Linked DNA regions of Arabidopsis thaliana. Each later gene encodes a partner of the first gene's protein in a complex. Links are inferred from orthologs where the notes say so. Each region holds a gene or a part of one and is shown on either strand. Other genes may lie near its edges.

Region 1 (6,485 bases):
AACATTAGAATTTTCGTGAAAAGTTTCAAAATAAAATCTATGTGCTTGACAGATAGGCAGTCTCCATTCTTGTCCTAATAAAGACAAAACTTTTCAATAAAATACAATTGTCGGAAGAAAATCATTTTGACCTTTCATTCATTCATTCATTCTTCACCAGAGATCACATAAACAAGATACAAAAATTTCAAAATTTAGTTAATTCAAACAACACCAAAAAAACGCATACAAAAATTACACATTAATTCGTTACACATCCTACAAAATTAATTATTATTTCACCTTAAAACTTAAGATCCAGAAAATTCGTTAAGCATAAACGGAAGAAGCATAAGAGAGAGCCATGAGTAACACGGCGGCTTGCTCTTCTTCGCCAAGCTTATTCCGCCGTTGATTCTCAGCCGTTGATCGCTGCATCATCACTTCTCTCCCCAATTCCATTAATCGCTGCTTCAACGAGTCACCAAACTTCGGGTTTCTGTTATGACTCTTCTTCTTCTTATCTTCTGATCTATTTGAGATCAGTGTTCTTCTTTTCTTTCTGTTTCTGATCCCGCATGCGTTACAAAGCGACTACACAAAAAGCAATCGGATCAGATCGAACTAGATAACAATTAGGTCAAATTAAGATCGGGGAAGAGACTAACCTTGGGACCGGCAGGACCGCCTCGCCAAAGAGGGGTTTTGCTGGTACCACAAATGGCACAACTCTTCTTCTCGTTGCTGATAGCTTCATTACTGCTACTGCTGCTGTGTTCTTCGATCGCATCTACTGATGTGAGTTTGCTTTCCATTGATTCTGAATCGATTACCTAAACACAGAAGTAGTAGCGCGTTAAGCTTAATCAATCCGATCGCTAGATATCAGAGCGAGAAGAGGGAATCAGATCACTCACTTTCTCGGTGGGATCTAGCATTACCAGCTTCAGGAACCGCAGATCGTGATTCGTGAACTAGTGTCAAGTCAAGAAGATATGGATCTAGGGTTTCCGATAGAGATCAGAGTAGGCAAGAAACATATAAGACTTGATGAGAATTCAAAGACGAGTGGATCAGGGGAACAAAAATTTGAATCTTGAAAGTAGAAACAGAGAGAGAGAGTGTCAGAGAAACAGAGATTTTTTTTTTTTGATTTCAAAGAAACGACCCAACAGATACCTCACAAAAACTAAACCAAATGGCCAATTATAAATGAAATTGGTTCGGCTAAACCCTAGCTTTAATTTATTGCTTTAAAAGACGAAATTACCCCTGTTTACGTCCTCTAATATCAGGCTAGAGCCACCCGCCAAATATCGCACATAACCCTGTAGGAAAATTTTCGCATAATTTGGGCGCCATTTCGAATGGCGTCGTGTTTTTCCTAATAATGGTGTTTAATAATACTTTCGTCCCGGTTTAATGTCAACCAAGAAATGGGGAAAAAGTCTTTAATGACGTCATATCTCTCTCTTCCAAGTTTAAGCTACAGTGTTATTACATGGACCGGATCGTGAATTTGATGTGCCACATAACTTGGATCCGACCAGATCAACAGCTCTAACCTTTTCACTTAGGTATTGAAACGAACACTGCATACAAACAAATGTCTTAAGACTACATTCTTCATCTATGAAACTAGAAGACATTCTTACCACATCTCAAATGCAAACAACACGGTACCAATCCTAAATTACGGCGATTCTAATCAAATCATAAAGAGTACAAAAGTGTTTTCTCAGTAAAAACTTCACATCTCGTTGTCAATGATATCGTGCATCATCTGTAACGGAATTAGCCCTTCTGTCCTGATTGCATCTTTGCTTGGGTCAGGACTGATGAAGAATAATGTAGGTAACCCTCGAACCTGTATCACAAGAGTTGGTTAATGTAAGAATTTACATTGATATGCTGAGAGGAGATTCATGAAATTTAAAAACATAAGCTGCAAGTTACAGTATACCTGCATGTCGCGTGCAAACTCGTACTCATCATCTGTATCAACTTTCACGATTATTGCATTGCTCTCATACTCTACTGCAAGCTGTTTCACAATGAGCAAAAACTATTTAACACGAGTGTCATGAGTGAAAAAGCAAGTAGATAAAGCCAATCAATAAGAAGATGCTTAGATTCTCCTATCTCACACATTTCTTTTGAATTTGTAGACATGCCAACTACGCGACAAGGTATCTTTGTCATAAAGTATGGGAGAAACAGTCGTAAGATTGGAACTGTTTAACTCCTTTATCTAATTCACCAAAAGAACTAAACCATAGAAGAGACTTGATTAATGAGAGCGGTCTTTCAACTCTAGTCAATTGCCAAACCAAGACCCAAGACAAATCCAGAGTGCCCCCAATACATTTTCATAGCCCCTCTTTAAACATTAAGATCTCAGTAAACTGTAAAGATTTGTTGATGAGCTACCAAAGCTATAATGCACTGCCCAACTCCTATGCAAGTTACAATAGTACTGCACTAGACTTAACAGTAATATACCATCACATTTCAAGATTCAAGTATATTATAACGAACAACCGGGTTCCAAGAGCCAACGTTTGGAAATATATAAGCATTCTAGAGTCTACACATGAAGCAAGTGAAATGGAGAATGTGTAAGAAAGTTGAGTTATGAGAATCCATGGTACCATTTCTAGTTCCTGGGCCATCAAGATACAAGGTCCACACCATGTCGCATAAAAATCAACAATCAACGGCACCTTCCTATCTCCTTTCACCAGTTCCTGAAGTTCTTGAGCTGACAATTTCTTCTGTCAAACCATAAGAAAAGGAACAAAAAACATCCAGAAATCAGTGAGGCTTCCACATGATGGTATCAACAAGAGTCATTCATAAGATTCAAATTAAGCAAATCTCTATTCTGAAGTATTTAACAGTGTACTGGTCGAATCTTTGATAGAACTACCATATATCGTTCTTATATAATAACTACATCTATGCCCAGCCAACTTAATTTCCCAGAAAGGCGAAAAAGGAAGTCGTAAAACGAAAACAAACATGAAATTTTTTGAAATCGACAAAATATGTTGTTTGGAGCGTGAGAGAAAGCGAGAAATTGTCCGTACCACAAGATAATCTTCTCTGACAAACTTGCCGCGAGGCGGAGGACAGAGAAGCTTTCGCGGACGCGTCAACGGCGAGAAGGGCAAGTTTCCGGCGGTGGAGGAGGAGAACGGCGCGGCTACCGGTCGGATTTCCCTCCGGATAAAGAGAGAAGACGGAGCATGGAGGGAGGATAGAATCGGCGATAACGGAGTGTTGAGGTGTGGAAAAGTTCTGGATTGAACAAGAGCCATTTTGGAAATCGATTTCTGCTTCAAAATGATTTCAGTTTTAGCTTTTGAGGGGTTTTAGACGATAAGGCAATTGAACTGGACATATACTAATAGTTCATTAGTTCTTGTCTTTTTACAATTTACTTGCTCAGGTAAAGTCAAATTCATAATAATTTATTGCTGTTTTATGTATACTTTACTTCATAATTCAAATAAAGATTCGAGTCTTTATAACTCGAAGATAAACCCTTCCTTAGGTTTGACCAAAAAAAAAAAAACCTTTCCTTAGGAAATCAGACACCAAACATATTAAGACCAATAAAGGGTTTATGGTTTCAATTTTTTAACCGACATACAAACTGTTGTCAACACAAAAACAAAAGACTCCACTGTAAGTTTTTATAACCCTCCAAAATTTAAAAACAACACAAAGGTCGACTCACGACCGGTGTACCAGTCATTTCAAAAAAATAGCCCTGGACAATGAACCAAACACTTTCTCAGACGCTGTACTTTTAAACCGACCACCCGGTACAAACCTCTGAGACCAGACCAGACCAGACCTGGAGTATAACCATGGCAGTGAAACTAGACTCTGACTGACTCTGACCTTTCACCATTCTCAAGTTGCAAGCTTCCAATTCCATTCCTGTGGGTTTATATTGATCTAAATATCAGATTTTGCATGTTTTCATCAAGAGACGTTGTTAGAAATTTAAGAATTTTTACTTTTATTTACCTTCAGCTGAAGTTGAATCCTCCGGATGGTACTGGAGCTTGATTCCCTCCAAACTGGAACCCAGCCTGAGAACCATCAACACCTGGAGGTTGCTGTGTCTCATCATCTTCCTCTTCAAGCCAGTATGTCTCCAGAATTTTAACAGCCTTCTCATAGATCTCATTGTTGTCATGGCTCTGAAGGTTCTCGATCTTTTCTAGCCCTTCTGCATCATCAATCAGCTGAGCGTAATAGTTCATGTCTCCTGTGTGACCCAAGTTCTTCTCTGCCTCTCCCACCTTCAAAATGTTTTCCAATCCTTCAAGGCAGACAGTTATGATTCTTGGATCTGGGCAAACCAGGAGATCGCATAATGGTTTTATGCACCCTTGCTCCACCAGGTATCTGTATAACCAACGGGAACAGAACATCAATATATATATACACAAAGTATATATATGAGAGAAGAAACTGGAAGTTAGAGGAACGCAAAAAAGACAGTGACATACTTTATTTGATCATGAGAACCACCTGAAGTTGCATTTGAAATTGCCCATGCAGCTTCCTTCTTAATGTCAAATTCAGCATTTTGAAGCAGACTCACCAACGGGGAAATCAAATTAGCCTCAACTACCGTCTGCAACCATCAGGGGAAAAACAACACAATTAATGAATAGGTATAGAAGTCTGGATGGGAAACGGTACAAAACATATGATGAAACAGTACTAATTGCCTACCTGGATCTGATCTTTGTTGCCTGCTGTGATGTTTGAAATCGTCCAGCAAGCTTCCTTCTTTATGCTTTTCTTATGGTTTTGAGTGAGCAGGTTGGCAAGACAAGGTAGAGCACCACTATTGATCACGCACTGGAGAAGAAGTAAAATCAGATTTCCAAGTAAAACGATGTAAACTATTTCAGATATAGAAAAATCACCTTTGCTAAACTCATGAAAAACCAAATTTCACCAAGCAAAAAATTTGTGCATGTTGTTGGTTTAAACTTTAAAACAAGAATTAATTGTAACAAAACTCAAACACAAGCAATATATAGCAAAAAAGGCACTGCATCCTATCTGCTAATATGGACAGAGTGGCAACAGAGGGAGAATCTCATGATAAGCATTCAATACTCCCATTTTTCACATAAAATGTTGGATATGAATAATAGCAACAGGGTGCCATACATTTGAACAACACCTCATCGCAATTACCAGTCTTGGATTAGATGATATGCATGGTATATCACTAACTTCGACATGTTTTTGCTATCGGTTCAATTAATGAAAAGTTCTAGTGGTATCTTCAGACCTATTCCTAAAGGCCAAAGAATTGCATAACCACAAAGATATTCTTTGGCATAGTAGGAAAAATATATACTATCATATACAATGTGCAAAACCGAAATACTGTGAGAAATTCAATAGACAGGATTTAGATCCATACCTGTGTTTGTATATCATCTCCAGTAACTATATTTCCAACAGTGCGAAGAGCAGGAATTAGCACAGATGGAGAATGATGGCTAAAAATCAAGAGCAAGGTATCAAGTTATTTGTCAACAAATGTGTGAAGTGGACATGAAATAAGGGAATTATAAAATGGTACTGACAGGAGAAGTTCAACAAGTTTTGGGACAACACCGGCCTGGATGACAGTCTGGATTTTGTCATTGGTCCCATCAGAGAGGTAAGAAAGAGCCCAACAGGCATCTGTCAAGACTTCTTCATCATCTGAATGAATTAGTCGTTCAAGGGCGGGAAGAGCAGGTTTGACCTGTTAAACATGCTTCATATGTTAGAAGAATACTAGACATAAACATTGACGAAACAAGCTTGGAGGGGAAAAAAATAGACCTGGTCAAAGTGAGGCTGAGGCTTGCCACGACAGAAGTTTGACAAGGTCCAAGTGGCATTTCGAAGCATGGACAATTTAGCATGCTCATTAAGCTGATTGAGCAGCGGAAGCAGTGCCCCACATCCAAGAACAAGATCACGGCACCGTGGTGAATCACCAGCAACGTTACCCAAAGCCCATACAGCCTGCAGGTTAGAGCGAAATCTTAAGATCAGGGTTTCACAAAATTTTCAATTGCATAATCTCTCATAATAAATGAGAAGACATTCTGTAGTCATCAGAAGTTCCATACCTGTTCACGAACATCATCGCTAGGGGAAGCAAGAAGCTGAACAAAGATTGGAACAGCATTGTGATCGATTACAACCTTAGTGTGATCCGATGTTCCAGATGCAATGTTTGTTAGAGCCCAAGCTGCCTCAAACTAAAATAAAAATCATAAAAGATGAGAAGAGAAGATTACAGTGAAGAATGAATCAATAAGAGACATTAATTATCTCACCTGAATGGCGGGGTAATCTTCTTTCTTAAGAAACTCAACAAACCTAGGAACAACACCAGCACTTATCACTTCCTCGATTGGAGGACTTCTCTCTATGCAATTATAATAGAGACAGAGAGACAAAAGTTAAAG
Region 2 (6,738 bases), about 18 Mb from region 1:
TGCCTTTACTTTACTTAATACTACCACAGTACCACTATTGGTTCCATCTAGTATTTTGTGCTACTAAACTATTTGGCATGTCGAGTTTGTAACTGGAGTTAAATAAAATGCACTTGAGTGTAATTGGAATTAAATGAAAAAGATAAGCATTTTTGGGGTTTTACAACAGTGAAAACAAAGATAGGGAAAAACTCAGAAACGAGGGAGACAAAAGTTGACACCTTTAACGCTTTTTCACATTGTCCAAGTGCTTGACCCATACCTCTCTGTTCTTCCTCTCTCTCTTCCCCCACCACAGTCACCACTTTACTCTTCTCCATCAGGGGTCCGATCCCATCTCCAATTTTAAACCCTAGAAATCAATCTCAAAAGCAAGCGTGCTTCATTAATGGCGAGCTTCATTCTCTCCAGGTCATTACTCGTTCTACTCCTGTCTCTCACCGCATTACTCTCCAGCATCTCGATTTCGGAAGCTACCTCATCGTTCTCGTTCACAAGCTCCGGTAAAAATGCGAGCTTTGAGTCCGAAGACTTTGCCCTGTACGGCGACGCTAAGCTCGTCGACGGCGGATCTTCGATTCAGCTGACTGACTCAGTGAGTCACGGTGGTGGGCGAGTCATCTATAAGAAACCCATTGAGTCCATGAACAATATAAAATTCGAGTATTTCACCGGATTCTCTACTTTCTTCTCTTTCTCGATTTCTCCTAGTCGTGGTGGGAGACTCGGATTTGTAGTGTTTCCTGTTAATGAAACGTTTGATCACTCTTTATTCCAAGTAAAGTTCGATACTTTTGACAGTTTCACCCAAATTGGAGATTCTAATGTCGCGGTGATTGTTGATGGTGCTACGGTGTCTGAGAGGATTCGCAATTTCACGATCGCAAACTTGGAGAAGACGGAGAAGGTTTTGTTGTACGCTTGGATTAATTACCAAGCTGGTGGCAAGTTCTTAGAAGTCCGGTTAAGTAAATCTAAAAGCTTTGAATCTGTTCTTCCTCTGATGTTTGATCAGATTGATTTGTCACAAATGTTGAGAGATGAGGATGAGTTCATGGTTGCTGTGAATTCGTATAGTGGGAATGTAAATCTTCATTCTTGGAGTTTAGAAGTGAGACACTCCGAGTATGAGCACTCTTGGGCGCCGGTGCTTTTGGAGGAACAACTTAGAAAAGAGGAACAACTTAGAAAAGAGGAGGCTGCGAAGAAGAGGACAAGTGATAGGATGTGGGAGGTTGTCACTTGCTTCGTCATGACCTTTGGATCAACAGGGCTTGTGTTCTTTGCCATGATGCATATATATGCAGCTTTCAAAAGGAACAATCTTGCGATGGTGATGCAGGAGGAATGTGGGATCAAGACCAAGGAGTTTGGGTATAAGAAGATGGAGAAAATGGAAGTTGTGACGAGTAATGCTGATGCGAAACAAGAAAGGAAGTGAAGTCATGTTTGGTGATTTTTGTGTGTTTAGGATATGTGAACTGTTAATGTAGTCAAGTAGATTCTTGGTAACTAGTTATCCACGAGGTTCTTCACTGGCTAATGTAACCCCTTCTTATTTTCATGTGTGTAAGCTTGCAACCTTGTTACCATTTGGCATTTTAGTTTGATTTGGCATGTAAAAATATGAGAAGAATGTTGTAGAATGCACACCAAACTTGAGTGCGAGGGATGACAAAAACAAATTCCAACTCCTACACAAAATAGATTTGTAACTAATCACAATCATTTGAAGAACGCAATGTAGTTTATCTTCATCTACACAAAATCTTCAACCGGAGATAAGCTTCAAGACGATGACTGCTGTGTTAATGAGCATGAGGGGTAGCCTCATGTACTGGCAGGCATGGATCAGACCAATGATTTGGCCTTTGGGAGAGTTTCTTCTATCGGTTTGGTGGAGTTCTCCGAGTGTCCATCCTCTTGGAACAAGGAAACGGTCTTCGTTGAGGATTGCCAGTGCATTTGCAAAGAGCAGCAGACCTTTTAACAATGTCCAGAAGCCCATTCTTTTCTGTGATGCATAGAGCTCAAAATGATCAGAATCAGGGAAAGAGAGTGGAACAAAGTTATCTTTTAATAGGTTTAGAAACAAAATGAATGGAGACTAAGTGCATGCAAATGTAAGCTACTGATGTGTTCTGTAGATCTAAAGCGCAGAGAACCATGAAGATAGCAGTGCAAAATCTTGTTTCTAACACATCAAAAAAGCCACCAGATTGAACTTATTCCTGCCTTGCAATAATATCTAGAAATCTAAACAATGGCAGGACGGTCACCGAGTTAGCATTCCAAAGAGCCTTAACCTAGACATATTGTATATCAACACTTCTGAGGATATGCTAATCACATAAGCAACATAAGTATGCTTCACGAGAAAAGCAACAAGCTCGATCAACCCTAAGAGCACTAGATGAGATTTTCTTGTGGATCTGCTTCAACAAAAGTACACTTAGTCAATCACAACATCTTGAATGAAAAAAGAAGAAGAGAGGAATCCTGAGACTTCCCAGTTTCAGCAATCAAAAGATTACTAAGTTTCATCACAATTCACAAGTGAAGAAGACAATCTATCAATGAACACTTTGTCTAAACCAAAATGTGAAAATAGATATTAGAGCAAATGCATACCGATTAAGCTAAGCTTGGTACAGAAACAGAGAATACACAATCCCAATTTTAAGCTATGCAATAAATTACGCAGGAATCATAAACCTTGAAACTGCTGACCTAAACATGAGATCGAGAAAGTAAATGAAGATCCAAGGTTGCTAATAGAAGAAGCAGCCAAACTAATCGATCAATTCCCACAAGGAAGCGAAAAACCCAAATCTAGCAACAACCAGTGAAGAAAAAATCAAAATGAAGGAGCTGAATCGAGTGCAAGATTACCGTAAGAAAACGCTCCGGCGATGAAGACGGCCTGAGAACGAGAGAATTGAATCCGTCGGTGAGGTTTAATTTGTTTCTTCTTTAGAAAATTGAACTGATTTTTCTTCTTCAGCATTAAGTAAAAACCCGAACCGGGTTAGGATTGACCCGGTTTGAATAAAAGTCGGGTCAGGACCCGATATGTTTTTTTTTGAAGAGGAAGAAGATTTGGATAAACCCTGACAGTGGTGTCAAAAACCCATCAATGGCTTCACTTCTTATTTTCCCCCACCTTCACCATTTTGATTCTTCACTGGACCGTAGAGAGGTACTAGTAGTTCGCCATTCACAAGCATCAAGGCGATTTCTCACTCCGAAAGCTTCAATTAATGGCAGCGGAATCACAAACGGAGCTGCAGCGGAAACCACCTCTAAACCTAGTCGCAAAGGGAGGAAGAAGAAGCAAACATCGACGGTAATTGAGAAAGATAACACCGAGACTGATCCTGAATTGAATCCGGAGTTAGCTGATTACGACGACGGGATCGAGTTTCCGTACGACGATCCGCCTCTTGTGTGTTGCTTCGGAGCTGTACAGAAGGAGTTTGTTCCGGTGGTGCGAGTCCATGATAATCCGATGCATCCTGATATGTACTCGCAGTGGAAGATGCTACAGTGGGATCCACCGGAGTTTGGGAGAGCTCCGGGAGGTCCGCCGTCGAATGTGGCGATCTCTCATGTACGGTTAGGTGGGAGAGCTGCGTTTATGGGGAAAGTAGGTGAAGATGATTTTGGAGATGAGCTTGTTCTGATGATGAATCAGGAGAGAGTTCAGACGAGAGCTGTGAAATTCGATGAGAATTCGAAAACTGCTTGTACTCGTGTCAAGATCAAGTTTAAGGACGGGAAAATGATGGCGGAGACTGTGAAAGAACCACCTGAGGACTCGCTATTTGCTTCAGAACTCAATTTAGCTGTGCTTAAAGAGGTAACAATCTTTCAATCTATGAGGAACAATCTAGGGTTTAAGAGGAACAATCTAGGGTGTATGACATTATAGCTCGAGCATAATCATGAAACAGAGCACCTAGGGTTTAGGAGGAACAAGTTTAGTCTAGGGTTTATGACATGAAAGCTCGAGCTTGGTTTCTTATGCAAAAGTCTCTGTCTTTGAGCATAAAGGATAAGATTTGGATAATGAAACAGAGCACTTCTCTGCTTGGTTTTTAAGCTTTTTGTTTGTTACTGGTGCTTCTAATGCAGGCGAGGATTTTTCATTTCAATTCAGAAGTGTTGACGTCTCCTACAATGCAATCAACTCTTTTTACGGCAATACAATGGTCTAAGAAGTTTGGTGGGCTTATTTTCTTTGACTTGAATCTCCCATTACCGCTGTGGAGATCGCGCAATGAGACTAGGAAGTTGATCAAGAAAGCATGGAATGAAGCAAACATCATTGAAGTTTCACAGCAAGAGCTTGAGTTTCTACTTGATGAAGATTACTACGAGAGGAGAAGAAACTACACACCACAGTACTTCGCTGAGGATTTTGATCAGACGAAAAACAGAAGAGACTATTACCATTACACACCAGAGGAAATCAAGTCATTGTGGCATGACAAGCTGAAGCTACTGGTTGTGACTGATGGAACACTTCGGCTTCATTACTATACTCCTACTTTTGATGGTGTTGTGATTGGAACAGAAGATGTGCTTATAACTCCTTTCACCTGTGATAGGACAGGTTCTGGTGATGCTGTTGTTGCAGGGATAATGAGAAAGCTAACAACTTGTCCTGAGATGTTTGAGGATCAGGATGTGATGGAGCGACAGCTCAGGTTTGCAGTTGCTGCTGGGATCATAGCGCAGTGGACAATTGGTGCAGTTAGAGGTTTCCCTACTGAAAGCGCGACACAGAATTTGAAAGAACAAGTTTATGTTCCATCAATGTGGTAGAATAGAAGATGAAGAACTGAACTTGTGTACTCAATGTTTTTGAACAATGTGTGAGTTGTATACTGATTCAGATTTGTAATCCAGAGAAATGTACAATCAATTTTTTTAGTTCAATCTGGATGGTCCAAGTCTTGATGCTTCTCATGAAAGGAGAATCGATTCTACAAGCTGTCTTGATCGGATACAATCATACAAATGGAAAATGAATCGTACTTTTTTAGTGCTATATTACTCCTAATTCTAATTACAAAACTTTTCAACAGAGAACAATGCAATCAGATCTTGCATTTACAAGTGTTCACGGACTTTTTGAACAATGCAATCAGATTTCACATAATACAAGCCAAATATTTAATAAAATATCAAAGATTTTTGGGATGTTTACTTATTTGAAAGAGATATTGGGATGTTTACTTATGGTGATGTCAAAGAAAAAGCAAACGCAAAGAAGTTTTTGGGTGGTAACTTCCAATATCTCAGTTTGTGATGTTTCCCAGCTTTGCTTGGTAAGATATGTAGTTAGAGCCTTAGAGGGACTTGAAATGAATGTTAATAACTTCAATATTTCAGTTTGTGATGTCAAAGACAGTTTGTCAAAATTAAGTATGCGTTGAAAGTGATTAAATCAAATAAAGACTTTATAAGTAGCCTAGCTTAGGGGGATGGGTAAGTTATTTTTAAAATTGTTCCTCCATTAGACATGATATTTTCTTGAGACTTTGAGAGAATGATAAATTTTGTATACTTCATACTTTTTAACCAACGTTAGTTAATTTTTCTGCATGCTAAAATCGTCTAGCTACATATTGCATTAGATACCACTGGCACATTCATTCTGATTTTGGTTGATATCATTGAAGAGAGAGCAGACAAAATAAAGTGAATGTAGCGGTAATCAGCTCACGTCTTATTGAATCAAACCTCTTGGTAATTAGTTGATTTGTAGAATTAATATCATAAATAGATTTGGCTAGACATGTTTTCTATATATATATCAAGAATTCAAAAGAAAAATACTTTGTAATAGACGTATACATAATAAAAATTCTTTGTCCAGTTAATGAACATATATAGCAACTGAATATTATTTGGTATCCCGATACAACAAACAAAACAAAGCCACAAAAAAAGAAACCTAAAAGAGTAAGAAAAGACAAAAACTAAAACATAAAATAACAGAGTAGAATCTAAGCTGAACAGCTCCTGCATGTTCAAATCCCCCATAATAGAAAGACGTGTTGCTCGACATCTTTGATTTGTAGTAGTCGGATTTTGGATACTTGCCTCGTGTCCTCCAATGACTCTTTCCGCTGCTCCGGTCTTATGGGAAACCAATCTTTCCGCCAAAGGAGAGGATAATTAAAAGAAGGTTGATCTCTCGTATGGATGCATTCAATAATGTCTCCATCTGGACTCTCTCTAGTTATAAAAAAATATAGTATCAATATAAGTTGAATAAAGAAGTCACATGAACAGTTTTTAGAAAATGTAGGATAAGTGGTCATGAGTGGTTTACAACGTGCTTTGATGGTCATGAGTGGTTTATAAAAAAGAATTATAATAGACAATTTATACATTTTTAAAAATTATAATTTCTAAACTAATTATTATGGCATTAAAAATAATTTATTACTACTTTTTGCTATGGTTTTGCTTATATTTTGCTTCTCTTTTGCTTTTGTTTTGCTTGTTGTCTTCAAATATAGTTCTTCCAAAATTTCTACTTAATTGATTCTTAAAAGATGATTTCATTGCTTAAATTATGTTTACATATTTTGTTTGAATTTTTTATTAGAATAACACTTACTAAAATTAAATTATTAATATTAAAAAAACATTACTAGTTTGCCTCAAAATACAATTTTTCAAGCCACTAGAATTTTCGATAATATGGAAAGCAATAGTATCCCA

Evidence for each region. The genes of interacting proteins can lie anywhere in the genome.
Region 2: the proteins of TRX z (region 1) and FLN1 are in contact, whole or in part, in a cryo-EM structure (PDB 8XZV), measured with the Spinacia oleracea proteins. The link is inferred for Arabidopsis thaliana from one-to-one orthologs. Residues at the interface, in XP_021862427.2 of Spinacia oleracea: Tyr73, Val75, Lys77, Ile83, Thr84, Val87, Arg88, Tyr100, Ala101, Thr102, Trp103, Cys104, Gly105, Pro106, Cys107, Ile108, Ala111, Gln112, Lys129, Asp131, Thr132, Asp133, Asp134, Tyr136, Phe138, Arg140, Asp141, Met142, Gln143, Val144; in XP_021865197.1 of Spinacia oleracea: Gln111, Lys112, Glu113, Phe114, Val115, Pro116, Ser117, Val118, Arg119, Val120, Ser121, His123, Gln124, Met125, Asp126, Pro127, Asp128, Ile129, Tyr130, Trp133, Met136, Gln137, Pro141, Phe143, Asp175, Phe176, Lys201, Ala203, Cys204, Ser205.

What each region holds. Positions count from the first base shown.
Region 1 is NC_003074.8:2,121,090-2,127,574, reverse strand, and holds TRX z (Thioredoxin z), read right to left. Parts: upstream 3,421-6,485; 5' UTR 3,300-3,420; coding exon 3,069-3,299; intron 2,754-3,068; coding exon 2,631-2,753; intron 2,024-2,630; coding exon 1,943-2,023; intron 1,847-1,942; coding exon 1,730-1,846; 3' UTR 1,419-1,729; downstream 1-1,418. Other genes in the region: GATA15 (GATA transcription factor 15), read right to left, coding at 310-573, 648-812, 897-917; IMPA-1 (importin alpha), read right to left, coding at 4,020-4,401, 4,506-4,633, 4,735-4,863, 5,441-5,519, 5,607-5,770, 5,851-6,036, 6,144-6,275, 6,354-6,445. UniProt on the Arabidopsis thaliana protein: Thiol-disulfide oxidoreductase that plays a role in proper chloroplast development, most likely through regulating plastid-encoded polymerase (PEP) dependent chloroplast transcription.
Region 2 is NC_003074.8:20,025,009-20,031,746, forward strand, and holds FLN1 (fructokinase-like 1), read left to right. Parts: upstream 1-3,043; 5' UTR 3,044-3,136; coding exon 3,137-3,859; intron 3,860-4,134; coding exon 4,135-4,827; 3' UTR 4,828-5,047; downstream 5,048-6,738. Other genes in the region: AT3G54080 (Concanavalin A-like lectin family protein), read left to right, coding at 389-1,441; AT3G54085 (Yos1-like protein), read right to left, coding at 1,772-2,008. UniProt on the Arabidopsis thaliana protein: Required for proper chloroplast development, most likely through regulating plastid-encoded polymerase (PEP) dependent chloroplast transcription.